Drosophila melanogaster: one gene and its partners. The protein of the gene in region 3 interacts with the protein of the main gene of each other region in a pairwise test. Each region holds a gene or a part of one and is shown on either strand. Other genes may lie near its edges. The genes, in order: Wwox, CG10063, CG12355 and CG32987.

The links.
Region 1: the proteins of CG12355 (region 3) and Wwox interact in a two-hybrid assay, tested with the Drosophila melanogaster proteins (one large-scale study listed by BioGRID).
Region 2: the proteins of CG12355 (region 3) and CG10063 interact in a two-hybrid assay, tested with the Drosophila melanogaster proteins (one large-scale study listed by BioGRID).
Region 4: the proteins of CG12355 (region 3) and CG32987 interact in a two-hybrid assay, tested with the Drosophila melanogaster proteins (one large-scale study listed by BioGRID).

What each region holds. Positions count from the first base shown.
Region 1 is NT_033779.5:7,998,699-8,006,410, reverse strand, and holds Wwox (WW domain containing oxidoreductase), read left to right. Parts: upstream 1-2,124; 5' UTR 2,125-2,222; coding exon 2,223-2,314; intron 2,315-2,376; coding exon 2,377-2,886; intron 2,887-2,947; coding exon 2,948-3,127; intron 3,128-5,977; coding exon 5,978-6,107; intron 6,108-6,174; coding exon 6,175-6,303; intron 6,304-6,378; coding exon 6,379-6,567; 3' UTR 6,568-6,741; downstream 6,742-7,712. Other genes in the region: Spn28Dc (serpin 28Dc), read left to right, coding at 851-1,760; Sirup (Starvation-upregulated protein), read right to left, coding at 6,861-7,162, 7,244-7,298. UniProt on the Drosophila melanogaster protein: Putative oxidoreductase. May control genotoxic stress-induced cell death. May play a role in TGFB1 signaling and TGFB1-mediated cell death. May also play a role in tumor necrosis factor (TNF)-mediated cell death. May play a role in Wnt signaling.
Region 2 is NT_037436.4:6,970,442-6,974,428, forward strand, and holds CG10063 (uncharacterized protein), read right to left. Parts: upstream 2,027-3,987; 5' UTR 1,918-2,026; coding exon 1,851-1,917; intron 1,789-1,850; coding exon 1,217-1,788; 3' UTR 1,138-1,216; downstream 1-1,137. Other genes in the region: CG9953 (uncharacterized protein), read left to right, coding at 1-178, 240-378, 441-912, 985-1,112; Galphai (G protein alpha subunit i), read right to left, coding at 2,902-3,092, 3,149-3,337, 3,397-3,491, 3,561-3,987.
Region 3 is NT_037436.4:15,492,155-15,497,565, reverse strand, and holds CG12355 (uncharacterized protein), read left to right. Parts: upstream 1-2,016; 5' UTR 2,017-2,327; intron 2,328-2,561; exon of another isoform or gene 2,562-2,663; 5' UTR 2,664-2,674; coding exon 2,675-2,806; intron 2,807-2,907; coding exon 2,908-2,999; intron 3,000-3,288; exon of another isoform or gene 3,289-3,626; intron 3,627-3,984; coding exon 3,985-4,097; intron 4,098-4,235; coding exon 4,236-4,513; 3' UTR 4,514-4,602; downstream 4,603-5,411. Other genes in the region: CG13455 (uncharacterized protein), read right to left, coding at 1-223, 292-851.
Region 4 is NT_033779.5:8,861,407-8,865,438, reverse strand, and holds CG32987 (uncharacterized protein), read right to left. Parts: upstream 1,629-4,032; 5' UTR 1,585-1,628; coding exon 811-1,584; 3' UTR 592-810; downstream 1-591. Other genes in the region: CG32988 (uncharacterized protein), read right to left, coding at 1-535; CG32986 (uncharacterized protein), read right to left, coding at 1,760-2,632.

The DNA of each region.
Region 1 (7,712 bases), on a different chromosome or scaffold from region 3:
TATCCGGCTGCAAACTGGAACTATAGCGATATCTGGTTGGGAATGGGTGCTGGGAAATGCCAAACGATTAGCGATCGCCTTGAGGTTTTACACCGTGAAAAACTGAAGGCCATGCGGGCTAAAGTGATCTCCTTTTCTGAATGCCAAGTGAGGGAAACAGGTTCATTGTACCAGCAAAATGATCTCACCCATTATCATCAAGCGTTTAGTGTCTCTTGATGGTGGTGCTCCAAAAGGAAGTATTTATTTTATATTCGAAGATAATATACAACGAGAAAATATTAGAATATATTTTTCTGTGTAGAAATGAGCGTGTAATTCCACTTATATTTATGAATCTTTAAAGCCCAAGCTTTCATTGAGAAATATATATGTACGTACGTACGTATAAAGTTTAGAATATAAATGGGAACCATTGACAAACAAATTTAGTAAGAACTTTTAGTGCGATTGTTTTTATGTAGAGAACTTGAATAAAATTAAATCGGAATTGGAATTGGAATTATCAGTTAATCAAATATTTAATTAGAAACCTTAGGTCAAATAGTAGGTACAATGAATTGCCAAAAATTTGGCAAATAAAAAGCACTGATAAGAATGGATTAACTTAAAAACATAACTAAGACATTTAATTATTTATTTATTCTTCAATTATAGCTGATCAAACATTGCAAAAAAAGCGGAAAAAAACTACTTTCCCAAGTTATTATTTAGCTCACCAGATATTGCAATTCCAACCCATCCCCAGTTCCCCAATACTATCGCTCCACTTTGCACAACGTTGTTGGCATACTAATAGCTGCGCCTTGTTGATTTATTACTCATGAGCTCCACTTTTGTGCAATTCCAGACGGGTGATCGTCGAGGTCTACGCCTCGGATCTGCAGATTCAGGATTTCGAGGGCAGTCCGGCGACAGCACGATACAATATCAATGCTTATGTGGCGCAGCACACAAAGAATCACATCGAGAACATCATCGCCAGCGATATTCCGCAGACCACCAGGATGATTCTGGCCAACGCATTGTACTTTAAGGCATTCTGGGAAACGGACTTTATAGAGTCAGCCACACGTCCGGATAACTTCTATCCGAATGGCGAGGGAACGGAGCCGGTGATGAGGGTGCAGATGATGGCCACCGGTGGTGCATATCCGTATCACGAGGATCACGAGCTGGGCTGCAAGATCATTGGACTGCCGTACAGGGGAAATCTGAGCACCATGTACATCATCCAGCCGTTTAAGTCGTCGGTGAGGGAGCTAATGGCACTGCAGAAACGTCTGACGGCGGATAAGATCGAGAGCATGATCAGCCGAATGTACAGACGGGCCGCTCTGGTGGCATTCCCAAAGATGCATCTTACGGAGTCGGTGAACTTGAAGACAGTCATGCAGCGAATGGGGCTGGGCGGCATCTTTAGCGCGGTGCAGAATGATCTCTCGCTCATCGCCACCAACGAGGCCACGAGGACGAATGCGCTGGGCGGCAACAGCCTGCAGAATCTGGAGGCACAGCGCAGAGCCGGAACGGGTGGAGCACGTTCCGATCTGGTGGTGGATGACATTGTTCACAAAGTGGACTTCACCGTCAACGAGCAGGGCACGGAGGCGGCGGCGTCTTCGGTCACATACCTCAAGAAATCCGGTCCCGATGTCCTCTTCCGCGGAGACACTCCATTCATGGTCCTTGTGCGCCACGATCCCACGAAACTGGTGCTCTTCTACGGACTCATAAATGAGCCCCCGGCGGCCGCTTAGTTTCTAGGATCATAAGTTATTAAGCTTTAGCACCTAAGTTCGTTGACTTTATAGTTAGGAAACTAATAAATCATTCACAATGATGAAAAATAAATTAAAACGTAAATTATGAAAATTTGTATTGGTTTTTGTTGCTGTTGAATCTTTTCACATTATCCTATGTACCGTACAGCAGGCAGATTAAACAATGCCCACAAATGTTCAAGGCGCTAAGTTTCTACAAATCATTTAAATTTAAAAAACAACCGCCAATCAACCGGTTGCGGTTAAAAGCTCTGTTAAACGGAGATGCTGATTATTAGCGGGTAACATGTTTCGTTTAACGGAACAGCTGTTCATTTAGTCGGCAGTTATCGCTTAAGCCGCATGTTATCGATATCTTCAATTATTTTGTATTCTTTTTCGCAATAAAAAGTGTATACTTTAGAAATAAAGCTTTAAATAAGTTTAAATTGATTCGAAATGATAGCCCTACCCGACACAGATAGCGAGGATGAGCTGCCACCCGGCTGGGAGGAACGTGCCACCGATGACGGCACCGTTTGCTATGTGAAGTAAGTCAAAAGTCCAGTGGAGTCGTAAACATTGTCTGATATTTTTTAATTGCACCATTTAGCCAGCAGGGAAAAACATCACAGTGGACACATCCACGTACGGGTCGCTCCAAACGGATCACGGGCGAATTACCCTTGGGCTGGGAGAAGTACTACGATGAGCAGGGAAAGCGTTTCATGTTCCTCAACAAGGAGACGCAGCAACGAACGAATGTGGATCCTCGTTTGGCATTCGCCGTGGAGGAGCCCACACAGAATGTGGCCCAGGTGCGCCAGCGATTTGACTCCTGTTCGACGGCACTGCAGGTGCTGCACGGCAAGGATTTGCATGGACGCACCGCGCTGATAACGGGCGCAAATTGTGGCATTGGCTACGAGACGGCTCGTTCGCTCGCCCATCACGGCTGTGAGATCATCTTCGCCTGCCGGAACAGATCCTCCGCAGAGGCGGCCATCGAAAGGATTGCCCAGGAGCGACCTGCAGCACGTTCCCGCTGTCGATTCGCCGCTCTCGACTTGAGCTCTTTGCGTTCAGTTCAGCGATTTGTGGAAGAAATTAAGCAGAGTGTTAGGTCAGTAGCATAGCTTTCAAAATCTAATATTATTTAATTGATAATTATATTTATATTGCAGCCACATTGATTATCTCATCCTTAATGCCGGAGTATTCGCACTGCCCTACACGAGGACCGTGGATGGTCTGGAGACCACATTCCAGGTCTCGCACCTGTCGCATTTCTACCTCACATTGCAACTGGAGACACTGTTTGACTACAAAACACGGATCATTGTGCTGTCATCCGAGTCGCACAGGTAAGTGTGAATTTGAGCACTTTAGCACGTAATTAGGGAGGGAGGGGGTAATAGAGTATACCAGTTACGAAATAATTCATATATATTCTTATGGTGTGTATAAAAGGTTACAAACTAACCGCTGAACTTAAGTTTTATATTTCGTATGAAATATCAATAGATCAATCTTAAAAATTAAGTATTCAAAAGATATATGTTAAAAAAGGTTACATGGGAAATACAAAATCAACTGGTTATATTTCGCACTATCAGTAAGGGAATTAAAAAGTTATTTACAATTCGATCGTATTGTTTCTTGTATCAATTTTACTATCAGTCACTGTCTCAATAGAAAATCGTCTCTACTTAAGTTAAATAAAATACATCGAAGCTTCAAAATATATAAATTGATGTATTATATATAATTTCTTAAACCTATTTTCTTGAATCAATTTGGCTTATTTCTTTCCTAATTAAATTTCTCAATGTCAGCACTGTTAATCTCGTTTTAATAATTATTATTTTTTTGTTTCTGTTTTTGGCCGGCAAACAGTTGTCATTATTGCAACCTGTTTGTGTGCAAAATGATTATTATCAAAATCACACGGGTATTTTAATTGAAGCTGAATTTGGTGCATGTCACATTCTAAAAATATATATATTTAATATATTTTTAATAAGGAATAAAATAAAATTATATACTTTATGTTTTAACTATCTTAATAACTTTACAATATTAATTTAATTTATTTAATGTAGTTATAAATTCAATAGCTATTTCGTATTCGACACCATCAGTTTTAAATGTGTGTCTGCCATTTCGAGTTGCCTTCTTTTATTTTTGCAAGTTGATTGCACTTTTATGATTCCGCATAGTGGACTTTGCACCCAGCGTTTTCTTTTTTTTCGCACTTTGGGGCCAAACTATTCATAGACCAAACCAGAAATAAATGCATTCCGCCTCAGCCATGCCGTCTAGTGTAATGTTTTCCAAAATGTTTGCCTATTTGCCTCAGATTTGTTTGCGTAAGATGTTTTCCGTTTGATTCGATTTCAAGGCGAAACGTAATTGAACTCAGCTTGGCATATATGAGTATATATTATTCATAGGCTTCGTTTACATATTGTGCTGCGCACTCAGAGGCAAACAAAGAAACACATAAATATAAACAATTACGAGGCCAACGCAGCTGGGTTTTTGTATTATCAAAACCAAAAACGTGCGTACAATAGAGCAATATGATCGAACTCACGTGCAGCTGTAAGCACAGTGGAGTAGAGAGCTCTGAAAATATGATTGTAATCTTTCTTTAAAAAATATCTATGAGATAAATTAACTAAACTGAAGAAAGTATTTTTGTTTTTCTTTTAAAACTAAAACACATTCAGATTAGCTACGCATATAAATCCAAGCAGAGTACTTTTTTTGTAAGATAAACTTTGAATGTTCAAAACTAGCATGCTTTAAATAGATACTATAAATGTAAAAAGTGCCCCTATAATTTTCCTTATCAGCGCTAACTCGCTTAATTAGATTGATTCATTTGTGGCCGCTCGAATGGCTCACTGTGCATGCTGTCAAAGACCAAATAAATCACTGGGTGAGCGAATCTCGTGAAGAGGCACAATACCAATTCAAACTGAACTGGATGTACATATGTATGTACATACATACTGGCTATTGGAGGTGGTTTTGTATCTGCTGCGTTCGTTGCTGTGCTCACGTACAACATTTTTTGGCTTCGCGGAGCATACATGACTATCTGCGAGTACTCCAATGTGGCGCACGAGACTTTTGTTGCACGTTCACACGGGCGAGAAAAAGATATGAATGTTGGTATGGAAGTTCGACTGGTTATCATTTTCAAACATTAAAGATTACTTACAATTAGTTATTCTTGCATCAGCTCACAAAAATTGGGTTATTCATTGTTGCATAGATAAAATATTTTTATTTAAGGTTTCTCTTTTTCAAATAATTATATTTTTGCGTGGGAAAAGTTGTCCAGACATTAAACAATTATTAATTCAATTAGAGTCTTAAGGTAAAGCAACGAGTTATTGTTCTAAAATTAAATGCCATTCAGCAGCAATTTATCTGTCTGTAGAACCTAATTAATTTACATGCAAACAGTCGAAAAGAACGCTTTTTTGCTTACCTACCACAACAAGATACAAATATACATATATAAAAAAAGAAAAAAAATGGAACGCCAACGGGTTTCATTTGTCATGGATGCCAATGGATACCCATACTTATAAATAACACTGAATTTGCATACATTTTGCGACGTTATATTTACATCGCCCCCAAGCCGAGCGCAGATATTCAATAAAATGAAAACAAATCCAAAGTCCAGAAATGTGCGCGCAGATATGTGTTTGTGTATAGAAATGTTTTCATGTTGCGGCATTCGTGGATTCGCAGGAAATGTGCGACTTGCGCATGCGCTACTGCCGAGGATTCCAGAGGCTTCCGCCGAAAACTGGAGATACATAGATACATAGATAGATAGATAGATAGATAGATAGATACATAGATAGATAGTTCGCCATAGAGTTCACTATGCATATCAGAGGGTCCTTGTTCGATTGTGGGGCTTTGTTCCGCCGGCCCCACTTGTTGACTCACGCCATTGTTCGTGGGGAGCCTTTGTGCGCCCTGCACTGCGCTAATTCTGCATCTCATTAATAAAGAGCGCTTAAAGCCGGCTATGCCAGCCGGCAATGGCAATCAAGACTCGTTTCGCGATTGTCGGCCGGCGGGGCCAAAGTCCAGTGAGTTCACTTGGACGAGAAATGTTCATGTGGGTCTCATGTACCGACAAAGAAATGCGTCGCAAATAATCTTAGTTACTAACTAACATGCAGATTTGCCAACCTGCCCGTGGAGAATCTGGCAGTGCATCACCTTTCGCCGCCGCCGGAGAAATACTGGAGCATGATGGCCTACAACAATGCCAAGCTATGCAATGTCTTGTTCGCCCAGGAGCTCGCCCAGGTGAGTCCTTAAATTGGGTCAATTGAATTCCACTTGCCAACCCTTTTTTTTTGTTTTTTTGTTGCAGCGTTGGAAGCAGCGAGGCATTTCTGTTTTTAGCCTGCATCCGGGCAATATGGTGTCCAGCGATTTGTCACGAAACTATTGGTTCTACCGCCTGCTCTTTGCCATTGTGCGTCCCTTCACCAAGTCGCTGGTGAGTTTGGCAATGAGAAGAACTCTCTGTTTTCCCTTAACTTTCACTAATTGCTTTCTGTGCCCCATATGGCAGCAACAAGCGGCTGCCACGAGTATCTACTGTGCGACGGCCAACGAGCTGACCGGATTGTCTGGACTGTACTTCAACAATTGCTTCTTCTGCGAGCCCAGCAAGTTGTCCAAAAGTGCTGCACTGCAGCAGCAACTGTGGAAGCTGAGCGAGAACCTGATTGCCGAGCTTGTGGAGCAGGAGCAGCATTAGCCAAGTCATTTGGCTACTGTTTTTTAAATATATTTATGCATTATGCTACCACCAATGATTCCATTAGGTATAATTTTACATTTTAAACCAGCTATTCATTACAAAGATATATTTTGAATTCTTTAATAGTTTCTGCCCAATAAGTGCAATGCAAATAAACTTTTGTACGTTAAGAATATCATGTATTTTCTTTTTACACTAAACAAGTATACATTTTGATTTGTTTTTAAGTCTTAATGGCTAGCATTTAAATAACAGTCTAAGTACTAGTTAAGGAACTCTTCATTTGGGCACTAGAAATCGGAGACGCGTCCCTTGCGCTCCCAGTCGCCGTAGCGTGTGGGCTCCGGCCCGGCTGGTCCGCCGATCTCGCCCGTATACGGATTGGTCTGATTGGGCCAGGGCTTGAGTGGTTCCTTCTCCTGGTACGGATGTCGCGAGAATTCATCCAGCTTGCCCAGCGGCGTTTTAGCGCGCAGCTTCTTCTGGAAGGCCATTAGCTTCTCGGTGCGCGTCTTTGGTTCCTTGATCTCGACCACCATGTCGCCACCGCTGGCGGTTGCCCGCCAAGCGCCACTCGTCGATAGATAGCTCACTGTTAATGAAAAATTGAAAGAACGTTAGCATCGCCACTCCAGCACAGTGCGCACACACACACACACACACACACACACACCTTGTTTGCCCATTTGGGGCAGGACTCGCGCCGTTTGTCTGGTCACGGATTGCATTTTGTTTTTTGTTTGGATTTCCTTTATCGGTTATGCAAGATGATGCCGGCGAATCTTCGTTTTTGTTCGCTTCTTAGTCGCAGTTACACTTTGTGTGTTTACTCAAAAGTCTCACTTTCGGCTGGGAGTCAATGTCACTTGCTTGTTGCTTCGCGTCTGAATTGCAATCTGCGAGGCTGCGTTTCGCTTTTATAGCCCGCGTTGCTTGTTTAGTTGCTTTATTTATTGTGCCATATGTTGTGGTGGCACTGAAAATGTACTAAATATAGCCATACAATACGCACAGCGGAGACGCACACCAGGGTGCATGACTGTGCTAGGCATTGAGCTGTAACTCTAGCTACATGCTATCTGGCAACGCTGGCTTTTAAATTTAAATCCGTTATTGAAAGAAAGAAACTGCGAAAAATATTG
Region 2 (3,987 bases), 8.5 Mb from region 3:
TTAGCTCCAGTGGTCCTCTGCTGGCTGAGGTTGACTTCAAGGAGTATTTCGAGGTGGTCAAAGCCTCTCTAGCTGCCTACAAGCCCGAATGCGTGGACGCCGTGACCCGCAGCTTTGCGCAAGTGGAGATTCTACTCAAGCACATGATTGGACAACGCAGCCTGGACGAGAAGTTCAAGTGAGTGGATTAGGCTATCGTCCTGCACAAATTTTAATTTTGTAAACCATTTTATACTCAGAACATGCACTCCCATCAAGGACTCCATTGAAAACGACCTGGACATGGCCAATTTCTTTGAGAATCTGGCTGGCAACTTTGCTGGAGTGGTGCAATACAACAAGGACAACAGTCCCCATGCCACCATCACCATTGACGACGTGTGTTTCATCCTCACTTTGATCCCTATCAAGTCCATACTAAGAATGTTTGAACTCCATAGATCTGCGATGTCATGCTAAACACCACGGCTGGTCCACCTGTGACCCGTTTGGGCCTGGTCAACGATATGCTATTGAAGGAATCGAACACCACCTGCCTGGACTACAAGTACGACAAGATGGTGGCGGACATGAAGAACGTTTCCTGGGACTCGGAGACGGCCAAGGGAATGCGCCAGTGGACATATCAGACCTGCCACGAATTCGGCTTCTATCAGACCTCGGATAACCCGGCTGACACATTTGGTGATCGCTTCGGTGTCGACTTCTTTATACGCCAGTGCATGGATGTGTTCTCCAAGAATATGAACGCCAAGTTCCTCAAACTGGTGGTGTCCGCCACAAATGATAACTATGGCGCCCTAAAGCCAAAGACCACAAATGTGTTGTACGTGCACGGTTCCATTGATCCCTGGCATGCTTTGGGCTTGGTCAAGTCCACGAACGCAGCACTTCCTACCATTTACATAGAAGGTATGTGCTTACCAACACATTTTTCACATATAACTTGGGTAATGTAAGCATTTATTGTGTTTTTTTTTTTAGGAACCGCTCACTGCGCCAATATGTATGAGCCGGTGAAAACCGATCCGCCACAACTGGTGGCCGCTCGCAACAAGATACTCAAATTCTTGGCCAAACTACTGGATGGCTACACCTCGGCGTTAATCTGATGGAAAAGTGGCCAAGTCAAGTGTAATTTTGTACTCGTCAGCGAGTTGTTTTATTTTTTGCTTTCGCATGAGTTTTATAATATATTTTTCGGCTCCGCTGGGAGTTAATCCTTCTTGGCCTGCTCCATTTTTTCGTGGAATCGCTTCCAGTAGTGCTGCACCTTGGCATTTTGAACGATATTGTGCTCGACAAAGTTGAGCAACCAGGTGGCGGTTAGGTAGGTCAAGTCATAGAAGAAGGCAACCACGCGAAAGAAATACTTTTCGGTCTGCTCCTTGCTAGGCAAGTTGGCCATGACATCCTGCAACTGCTTGGCGGCCGCCTCCTTGGCCTCCGATGCCTTCTTCTGCGCCTCGGTCATCTTGTCCTCGTTCGAAGTGCCCTTGCTGCGCACGATGGTGCTGGCCTCCAGTGGCTCAGCTCTGCCCAGTTTACCGCCTGCGTTCACTACGGAAATAGTTGGCGCCTGCACCTCGCCAATGGGCACATCCTTACGCGTGGTGTTCTCTGGGTTATTGCCCAAGGTGGATGGAAACCCTGGAGCCGCAAATCCAGGCGGCACGTTCTTGGGCTTCTCATCGCCGCCACCTTCGGCGGAGAACTTGCGGTCGAGATTCAGGAACAGAGCACGCGGGCGCACAGTATTGCCATTGAGGCGATTCAATGTGGAGTAGTCTTTATGGTGGGAAAAGGCGTTAAAGTTTGCTAAGAAAAAAACACGTGCCTGCTTCACTTACTCCACGCTGTGACCAGTGGTCCCGCCACCGACTTACTCCATTTGGTCATTACCATGGCGCGAATCATTTTCCAAGTTTAAGCAGATTAAAAATTCTTCACTGAAGCAATTGACAATTTCAACAAACGAATTAATCCAAAATGCCTGACAAAAAGCAGAATGCGGCAAGGCCAACTTGACAATCATCAGCCAGAGTTGCAACTCTTTCCGAAGAAAATCCCATTTTTTTTGGGAAAGAACGCTAAGTTCAAAAAAGCTAAACCTAAAACAAAATTACTGTTTCTAATATATTTATGAAAATAGGCACAAGCTATAGCTCTAAATTGGAATATACACTAAACTAACTGAGCAATGATCAACATAATTTAAGGATCCTAATATTTATTTTACTAAGTTGTCAGCTCTGTAAGCGCACATGAAATAATAAGCAGCATTGGCAGCATTCAAGTACGAATGGTTATTTTGTATAAATTGTCTTTTATTTAGGCTATTACTAAACATATTAGTAAGTTTACTAGTTACATTTTAGGGCTTACAACTCCAGGCCTTAGGTTCACCTTAAATAACGCTGTCAAGCTCTTGGCAAAGAATAAACGTCCGGAAAATGGCTTGCGCCCAAGGAGACACCTCTGGGGATTTCTGGATGTGGTGCTCCCCTTGGTCACCGCCATTAGCCCGCGAAACTTAACTAAATTCCAAAGGGAGCCGATCGGGTTGAGGTTTTAGGATGTACAAAACCCACCGGCTGTCCTTTGTCGAACTTTACATTTGTGTGGTTAGGCTAATGTTTAAATTAGTTAGCTTATGGGTGCAATTTAATGGACACGGTTAACTAAATTGCAGCTGGTTAGGTTATTTGTTCCGCGACTACTGGCAACCAAATCGGTTATTAAAATTACGTGTGTCAAGCATGTAACGCATTTAAAACATATATGGATCGTACGAGCGTAAATGTATCGAGTTCTTAGCGTTTAATGGAAATGTTTATGCGCGTTTTCCTTTAATACTACGACGCCAGCTAAATAATGATGATCTTGTGCTCCGCCGCCCTCTCAGAATAAGCCAATTTGTTTCAGATTGTTCTTGATGATCACATCGGTGACGGCATCGAAGACGAACTTCACGTTGTTCGTATCCGTGGCGCAGGTGAGATGCGTGTATATCTCCTTTTGGTCTTTTCGCTTGTTCAGGTTTTCGAACTTCATGCGAATGTAGTTGGCCGCCTCCTCGAAGGTGTTGGTTCCTAAAAGTATATCAAGTTAAACAAAAATGTAATCGTTTTCTACACTCTTATCTTACCTGTGTACTCTGGGAAGCATATCGTCAGCGGAGATCTCTTGATCTTCTCCTCAAACAGATCCTTCTTGTTGAGGAACAGTATTATGGATGTTTCCACAAACCACTTGGAGTTGCAGATGGAATCGAACAGCTTCAGGGACTCAATCATACGATTCATCTCTTCGTCCTCGGCCAATACTAGATCGTAACCTAGCGAAATATATAACAATTGCATTAGATTCCTAAGATTCGTAGAATATTTGACTTACCTGATAGCGCGACGCAGAAGATTATGGCCGTAACGCCCTCGAAGCAATGAATCCACTTTTTGCGCTCCGATCGCTGGCCACCCACATCGAAAAGTCTGTGGCGAAAAAAAAACATAACCATTAGAATCGAATCAACCGGAAGTGGGCAATTAATGACAACTCACTTGAAGTGCAGCTGCTTGCAGGAGAAGTGTGTCTCGATGATGCCAGTGGTCTTCACCCGCGTGCGTAGCACATCCTGCTGCGTGGGTATGTAGTTCGGTTGCGCGATCCTATCCAGCGAATTTAGATAGTATCCCGCCGAGTCATTCAACTGATATTCGCGCGATCGGGCGAAGCTCTGCTGTACGCCACCGTCTGCCCAGAGTTTCTTCATCAGGAGCACGATCTCGGGCAGCAGGATGCCCTCGTCGGCGGCAGAGGCGTGTGTGAAGAACTGGCGGGCAATGTCCGTTCGGCTCGGATCGGCAAACTCGATCTTCAGGCGTCCCATTGCGCGGATGATCACCATTAGACTCTGCACCGTGTTGCTGAAGACGACGCGACGATACTCCTCGCATTCCTCCTGCGAGTAGCCCGTGTCATGGATGA
Region 3 (5,411 bases):
TGTATTCTTTAGATTGAAGATTTGCTGTTTCTTCTTCAACTGCATTTGAATATAGCGAGTGCACAGCATCTCGAAACGGCGCTGTTCACTCCGGTACTCATCGAATAGCTCGTCGTATTTGGAGTGCAGCTGCTCCGTTTTGCTTTGAAGTACCTTGAGAGCCTTTTCCCTCTTGGCTAACTGCCGACGACTTTGGCGATGGGACACGGAGAGCTCAACGTAACTGAAAATGCGCCAGAATACTTAGTGCCTACATATGTATACCCTTTTCTAATATTGTTGAAAACTTACCGCTGTTGCATCAGCAGTGGACTGATGGAGTCGTACAGCTCACCAATGGAGTTCACATGGGAGCCACTGGGGCCCCTCTTCTCCGGATCGCTCTCACTCGAACTGGAGCTATCGATTCCCCGGAGCAACTGCACCAGTCGCTCGTTTCGCTTCCTTTCCGTGTCCAGTGAAAACACCAGTTCCTGAACCCGTTCTGTCTGCCGATCGAGGGCCATTCGGAGCTTGAACTCCTGCTGCCGATCCTCGTGAATTGTGTGCTCCAGTTCATTCACTAGTCGCAGTATCTGTTGGACGGTCTGCTGGTAGGGATTGGGCTCCTGGTTTTTGTTCAGGCTGGCATCAGTTGAGGCCAGATGATTTTCGCCCAGTGATATGGGCTCGTCCTCTTCGTCCTCCGAGGGAAGTAAGAGACTGGAAACGGGATCCAAATTTGAATTATTTGAAGACGAGCTCGACGTGGAGCTAAGAGGGGCCAGGGGACGACCCAAGTCGCTCTTTCTCGTGACGGTTCCGAAGCCAAGACCGTTGCTCACACTCCTCAGAAGGGTGCTCAGGTTCATCCTTGGTCCTTTCCCACCTCGTGTCGCTGTCGTCGTCGATGTCTCCGTCTTGTCACCTGACTGTAAAAGTACTCAGGTGTGTGCTGCGCTGTGTGCTCGGCTTGTTTGTCACTAAATGACTGCCTACTTGTGCTCGGTACACTACAATAAATAAATATAAAAACAGATACTTTTAGATGCTTTTAAGATATTAGCTTTTTTGTAGAATTGATTCTCTATCAATGTTTAGACTTCTAATTAAACAGCAGGAAGTCAAAAAGTTGTGGTTTCTATTATGAATATAGCAATATTTACTACAATTTAAACAAATTAAATTATGTAAATTTCTTCTTATTGGTTTCTGAAGCTTTTCTTAGATTTTTCCGAGTATACCAACAGCTATCCGAAAGTTGCTGCCTTCCGGGCTCACTTTCCATATGGTATCGCACAACTTTTTAAATTGCTTTCAGTTTTAACACCTTTGCCTTCAGTTTTCCCGGCACTCAATCAAAGTTGTCGTTACTCCGCCACCGATTTCATTCCCTCGCATATGTTCTGAAGGCTTTTCCCGACTTTTCCCAACTGCCTTCACAGCTTTCCTCTGGTGTTTGTTAGTCGTGCGTAAATTGCCATTAGCCAAAAAGGGTTGCCAAGACTTGATACACTTATTGCATTTTTATGGGCCAAACTTTTGTTGTTTTTTCCTCAGTTTTTCCATTTTTTGGTTTTGCTGACATAGAGAGTTGCATGTATCCTTGATTAAGAGCGATACATACGTATTGTAAACTTGATTGAGGCAATTTTGCAATCGGTAAAGATTGTGGAGAATACTCGAGAGTTGCCTTTACGTCATGGGTTTCAGTAAAATCCTTGATGATGTTTTTGCACCAAGTAAAAAAATTTATTGTAGTAAATTGCAGCATATTAACTAGATTTAACTAGATATACAAAGGTTATAGTATCGCTGCTATTGACAATTAATTATACGAGGTTCACTTAATTTTCCGACTGCTACTATGACAGCTACCGGATATAATAATCCGATTTTATAGTTTATATATTTCATAATTTATAATAAAATATGAATATTCGTTCTTTTAATCCAGACTGAACCGCTTTTTGAAAGGAAGTGGAAAATATTTTGTACAATGGTTGCTTTTGAGTTTGTAAGAGTTTATAAAAAACTAATAGTCGCCGTAAAATTCGTCAAATCAACCCAAATATAAATCCTAATCAAAAATGAAATATTTTTTTTTGGATATGCTTATTTCACATCTTTAAATCCATTCAGCGATTTCAATGGAGTGTTGGAAGACTCAGCCGCAGCTCTTATCTGGGTTCCTTGGATGCCCATCATCACAATTTCCTGATAGTTTCTATTTTTTAACATTGTTTCGAGCTTGTTAAGCAATTCCCATTATTCAATGGCCTACCAAATTATTTTAAAATTACACTTCCTTAAATTTCGTTGATGAATTATTATTAAAAATGCTGGAAGTAAGTAATAGAATTAAATCTAATCTGTGAAGACTGATAAGGCCGTCTAAGATATCGCTTAGGTAACTGCATTTGTAAGCTTTTATTAAACAAGAAAGATTTACTCCACGCTCTTGTTTGCATTCAAAAAACGTAAACATTTTTATTTTCTCTTAGCTGCCCGTCTTTCTCTTTTGGCTCTCTTCTTTTCACTTATTGTCTTTTGTAACAGCTGAGCCATCGCTTGGAATTTTCCTCAGTAAAGCTCCGTTAGCGCTGGCGGCTGGCCGCTTCCAAAAAAAATTCATTAGAAAGTTGTCACAAAAAATTTGTTATTAATATTAATCAAAATTCAAGCAATTAAGATAATGGCTCGGTTAATTTCGGGAGTTCGCAATTTGTTCCATCGATATCCATTCGTCACCAACAGCGCCATCTATGGGAGCCTTTATGTGGGCGCCGAGTATTCCCAGCAATTCGCATCCAAACGCTGGTTGGCCGTAAGTAAAATCATTTACAGACACTCATGTGCAGAATATGAGCTTGGAGATATATCCGAGGGCGATCTGGCGATTTCTAATCCTATTTATGTGCCCCGTAGACGGCGAGCAAACCTGAGGATATCGATTATGCAACAATAGGAAGATATGCCGTGATGGGTACTGCAGTATATGCCCCAACACTTTACCTTTGGTTCGTGCCCTCAGTTTTATGAATCTGTACATACATAGCCACATTTTATTATTACTTGCACATGTACACAGTGATGGTCGACATAGTAGCTCTGCTTTTTTGTTTGATTTCTAATACAATCTGTTTATCATGAAATCTATAACTTTTCATTATAATTTCTTATTTCTAAATTTCTGATTTTATGTTATGACTAAAAAACGACACTTTAGAGCAAAAACAGTCAACTTAAAATATTAGTATATAAATCGGAGCTATTACGTTGGCCGAGGCTGTTCATACTAACACATCTGTGGACCATTCAATTTACTCACACTTACATGCTTGCCATTTAACCATTCTTTTTATTTCCTCAATTTGCTTCGCCGTACGCTTCTGTTGTTGTTTTTGACTTTTATCAATTTGTTTACGATTCCGGTAAAGCTCCATGAGCACGTGTCGCAAGTCAAGAGCATGTCTCTCCGCCATTTTTATCACTTTCTCTTCACACTTTCTCTTTAGAAGCACCCACGCCACCAGAGCACCAAGCTTTTCCTCTTTAATTGAGTGAGAGGGAAAAGCTGCCCAGAAAAGCACGCAACGCACTGAGAAATTGGGCATATTTGCACGACATAAAAGTCAAAATGCAACGTAAGTTTGGGAAGTTGGAAGTTGGCTACTGGGGATCTGGATTCGAAAAACAAAACTTACAAAAGAAAACAAGATGCACACAAGGATATACAAACATAGGGAATAAAGATCTCGGAATATTATAAATACATATCACAAACACATACACAATGTATGAAACACTTACACATAAATAAATACTAACACCATAAATTGATTACAAATATGCAAACACACTATATAAAGTAACTCCAAAAGCACTATATATACACCAAAAAAAGATCTTGCTTACCTAGCCTGCTTTAGCTTTTACTTTGATGTCTTAAATATAATCAAGCATATATATCAAGCATAATAATTCAAATAATCAATTTCCTAGGTACAAATGGTTAGATCGCGCTTTTCCTGGCACCACTAAGGTTATCATAGTTAAAAAATTAGTGCTTGATCAGTTTGTACTAACGCCTTATCTATTGACTGTGTTTTATGCAGGTAAGTTCCACTGATACACTCAAATGTAAAGATTAATTAATGTATATTAAATTAATAATACATTTTCATGTTTATTTTTGTACGCTTAACACATGTTCTCTGTTATTTGACAATTAACAAACTAATTTCTATTTCCAGGCATGTCCATCATGGAGGGCTCTGCGGATATTTTCCTGGAACTCCGCGAAAAATTCGTGCCGACTTTTATGCGTTCCTGCATTTTCTGGTTGCCCGCGCAGGCCTTGAACTTTTCCCTGGTTGCACCCCGATTCCGTGTCATCTATATGGGTATTTGTGGATTGATTTGGGTGAATATTCTATGTTGGACCAAGCGGCAAAGTCTTCCAGTCGCAACGAAAGAAATTGCAACTGATTCAAATAATAATGCAGCTGCCATAAGGAATTCCGAAACATGAGATTTGAATATACACCATACACCATAACCATGTATATAGTCCTAGATAGTTTTTGACCATGCATTGCCAAATAAAGGAGAAGCAAATAGTGTGGTAGACTTATTTATTTAACCTGATTGCAAAGCGTTCGTATACAGTGCGTATGATTGATGTTCCCATAAACGGAAACTCATCAATTACTACTTACCCTCTATTCATCTATTTCTGTGAGTGCGAGCTTGTGTGTGTGTGTGTGTGTCTGCTGTTTATCAGCGTGTGTAAGCGCGTTAAATTGTGTGCGTGTGTGCGTAAATGTTTCCATCAACATTTGCCACACTCAAACAATAAAGAACTATCCTGCGTATCCCGCTGGACTCCGTGCACTGAACTCCCTAAACCAAAATTTATGTGACATATAACAAAAAATTCAATTTTTTAAAATTATCCCTGTTTTTGGTTCAAACATAACCAGGTGCGCTTCGTCACTACGTGCACTGCTATCCATAGTAGTAATCAGGTTTCGTCACTTATAAGAGCTTTTGTATGTTTAAGTGGGTTTTGCCTTAACATTTACATTAGATATTGTTCCCTAATTTATGTCTCTTGTTCAATGGCAGCTATCCGTGGCTAAATGCATTGTAATTCCCCGATCGCATTAACTTTTTGCCTAATTATTGCTCATCTCTACCATCTCGGCCGACTGATGCCCATGACCCCTGACCCACGAGCTTACGGAGCACCCAGCAAAACTAATTAGACGTGGCGTGTTTCGGCTGCCAACTCCCTTCGATATCCGCCCCATGTTAATGCGTTGAGTGTGTGCGTCTGTTTAACTTATTGTTGTCTATTTAAATTGCAATTTGTCAATATGCGTGTGTGTTGTAGTTACCGCACGCCCATCTGAGGCCACCTCCTTGTT
Region 4 (4,032 bases), on a different chromosome or scaffold from region 3:
GCAGGACGATCATGGTGACGGTGAGCAGCAGAAAAATGCAGCAAGTACAGATAATGTTGGGTAGCAGAACCTCCGGACTTTTGGCCCCATACAAATGCAGCAGGGCCAGCAGGGATCCGGCAACCAAAATGGCAATCAAAAGGACCCAGACGCGCACTAGATGCATATAATACGCTCCGAACAGGGTGAGAAAGAACAAGGATCCCAGCACCAATCCCCAGCATAACAAGGTCAATGCTGGAGTCTGTGCGATGCAGCCGAGCACTGAGAGAATGATGAAAGCTAATATCAGCCAAACGAACGGCGGCACTGGAATTGCCTTGTAGACCCTCACAGCGAGTGCCGACAGTATGATCCACGAAATGGAAGACAGCAGGCACAGCACTACGGAGGATAGGTACACCCGGAAGATGAAGGCCCGCAACTCCCGCTCGTTGATGACTAAGACCTCCGGTCCCTCCGCAGGAACTGGCTCGCCACCAGGTCTTCCGGTTCTAAGGCCATAACGACCCCAACCCCGATTGCGATTATTCATGTGTTAATCAATTATTTTAGGTCAATATAATGTAATTTTGAAGAAAAAAGCAAAGTAAGTGATTCATTTTCTCTTATATTGAGACTAGGACTTTTCATAATACTCTGGCTTTATTCTAATTGCCTTGCAATGAGAATATATTTATATTTTCTGTACCGCCTAGGCTACACCGCACTAAGTAATTAGACTGGATGACAGTATCCTTTGGTCTGGAACACCATAGTAACTTGCCAGATCGCTAATCAGTTTCGATCACACAGTGACAGCTATTTCTCTCAATCAAAATCATTTTCGAGTGAAATTTTCGGAGCTTCAGATGTTTGTCTGATGGCCTCCTTTCTCTCGTCGACCAGGATGAAGTAGCACACGCAGAAGAAGAACATCATTGAATGCAAGTATAAAGTCAGGGTGCAGACCATGAGGTGCTCTTCGGGAACCACTTCCACGACGTTCAGACGGCCATGGTTGAACTGCGCCTGAATGGGGATCGCTATGATCAGCATCAGGAACAGAATGCTGACGAAGGTGTCGAGCAGCTCAACACTCCCGGTGCAGAGCTGGACGATTCCCACAATGGTCAAGACCAACAGCAGTGCCATCATCAGCAGCGTGGAGCAAACACCGCCGGGCAGGAACTCCTGCGGGCACATGGCCCCAGAGAAGTTGAGTAACATAATGATCAGGGCCACGCCGATCATCACGAAACTGATAATGAGCGGGCTCAAGTCGTGGATGAAATGGCAGCCAAACAAGGTGGTACACACAACCACCAGACCTGTCATGAACCACTTACAGGGAGAGTAGTAGGATATTCTCGGGATACAATGCATGCATATCATCACCAGAAAAATTATTAGAGCCAGGACGTAGCAGGGAAACGGAAGGTACCTCTGCAGGTGAATATGGGTCAGCATGAGCAGAATCCATGCGCCCACCGTAATTCCGATAAGGATCAGGCCAATGTTATAGATGCTGCGGATGAACTGGGTCATTGGGTCCAGCTGCTCGATCGTCGGCCGGATGTTGTCCTGGTGGTAAATGTTGTCCATCCCGTTAAAAATCCTTATGGACCGAGTGTTAAGACTAGGTCTGGCCTGCACCCTGACACTTACCTCCTGGCAAAGCTGCTCACCTTCTATATCTTTTATTTACAAATTGGTATCTTTTCTCATTAAAGCCTTCTTTTTATTTTACACGGACACGTTAAATTAACTCCTATAACTCTCACCATTTGGGAGCCCAGATGACAAAGTAAAAGGCCGCAAAGAACAACAGAAAGTGCAGATAGATGTTGACGGCGCAAATAACGAATTCGTAATCGGGCAGCTGGAATCGCCTGGAATGAACCACCTGAGCATGGTAAACGGATGCGGGTATTAGCAAAGTGGCCAATAACGTGAAGTACACCAACTGGTAGATCCAATTGTCTGTGAAGATATACATGGTCATCACAAAGATTGAGGACATCACGAAAATGACGAGCAGGAGGAACATGGTCCTCTCTCCGGGGAGGATGATCTTGGGTATCCATGCGCCAGCGAAATAGCATATCACAGTCATGGCGGAGGCCACCAGAAGGGCAATGCACACGCGGGAAAGGTTCCGCTCCAGGAGAAGCAGAATAACGCCCAAACCTGCCAGACTTACAAACAACCCGGCCATGATGAAACTATACCAATAAAAACTCCGCAACTTGGTCAAAATACAGAAGACAAAGAGAAACATTAGGGACACCATTGCACTTATGAATCCTGCCATTATAAGATCTGCCTCCGGAGGAATTACCTTGGACAGGATTATGGCAAGGATCGCAGTTGTAGTCGAAAACAATCCAGCCATCATGTAGCAGCGCCGCACAAATATTATTTTCGACGAGTCGCCATTTCCGTTGTCCAGTCCTCTGGAGCCTTCGCCTTCCACAACCGAACGTCGTGCCCTTAATCTACGGGGTGCTAAGCGAAGCTGGTGTATCGAAGGATGCTCGTATCGAACCAAAGTTCCAGGAGCCTGCTCTTGCTGCTGTGGCAAAGGAAAGTTGAGAAGCTGGAGGGCTGGTGGATAGATGACCCAGTCATTTCTTAAACTGCCTCCTAACATTGGGAGCACTTAGAGGGCAACCACTTAAAATTTTGACAAAATATTTATGGCACACCCTGATTGGGTACGAAGACATCCCTAAAAACATAAACAATACTAATACTACTAAAAATTACTAATAGCCAAAATAATACATAGCCTGTAAATCTGATTTAAGAACTGGAAATATTTATATACACCGTATATATATAACAATTATCCTAAGATTAAGATTCGCGGAAGAGATAATTACGGTGACTTACCGAATGCGATGGCATGCATAAATATTTAACATTTTATAAATCTAAGCAGTATTATTCCGTTCGATCAGGGCGGAAAACTCAGCGAGGCATGCGGAATTCCAAGGGGACTACAAAGCCTGCAAGGAAAATGCTAAGTAGCTCCGATCAAAGCTAACAAAACAGCCACAAAGGATGCTTACTCCTTTCCCCTGCCTGCATTGTTTGTTGTTGTTTTGCTGATCGCTTGAGTGACACGCAAAGCAAAGGATACAAGGATACACTGGAGTAGAAAGGCGATCCCGAGATGTGTTTACTGCCGCATCTGCGGCCTCGATCACAATCACTTTCACAGACGGTTGATGCTTGATGGTTGACGGTTGGACGGCATTGTTCCGGCTATGACTCAATCTCAATCAGCTGGCTACGCTTATCCTTGATCCCCGCTAAAGACATGCAAATGCCAAGGCAGCAGGCGATCGGGGAGAATGTCAGTTATCTGGCAGCTGCAGCTCAATGCAATAGATACGCTTGCAGTCGAAGGAGTATAACCCTTGAGTTGCCAATCAAGTCGTTAGCTCGCCTGCTCCTCATGATTGGATTATTGAGTTGGTAAAAAGTGAATACCTTTCGGAAATTGAAAATCAAGTAGCGGATGTCAGTATTAGGATTAGATTCTATTTTCTCTGCAAATTTATAAAACATTTTTAAAGCTAAAAAGAGCAACTAATTTAAAATAACTCATACGACTTGTTTATTGATCTTTCTCTTGCAGATTTCGGCCTTGGGCCACATACATATATATGGACTATTTACTATTCTACAATGGCCCCTTCAGGGCAGGTCAATGTACCATGGTATAACATTTTCGGCTTATATTTTCCACCCACACAACGCTGACAACGATGAAAGGGCCAACGACGAGAGGTCGGGAGGAAAGTGAAAGCGTTGGCAAGTGCTTGACAACAACGACATGCGAGCGTATGCAGTGGACCAGGCCATTACAATCCACATCACCATCCTAACCCCACCTCAGACAGCCCCGGACAAACTAACGGCATTTCCCCCGTCGACTTTTCCCGGCCCTAACTTCATTTGGGATTTTGCATGCGAACACGAAAATGTTCGGGAGCCGCAAAAAGCACAAGCCAAAAAGCTTACAGAAGCGTAACGAACGAGAAC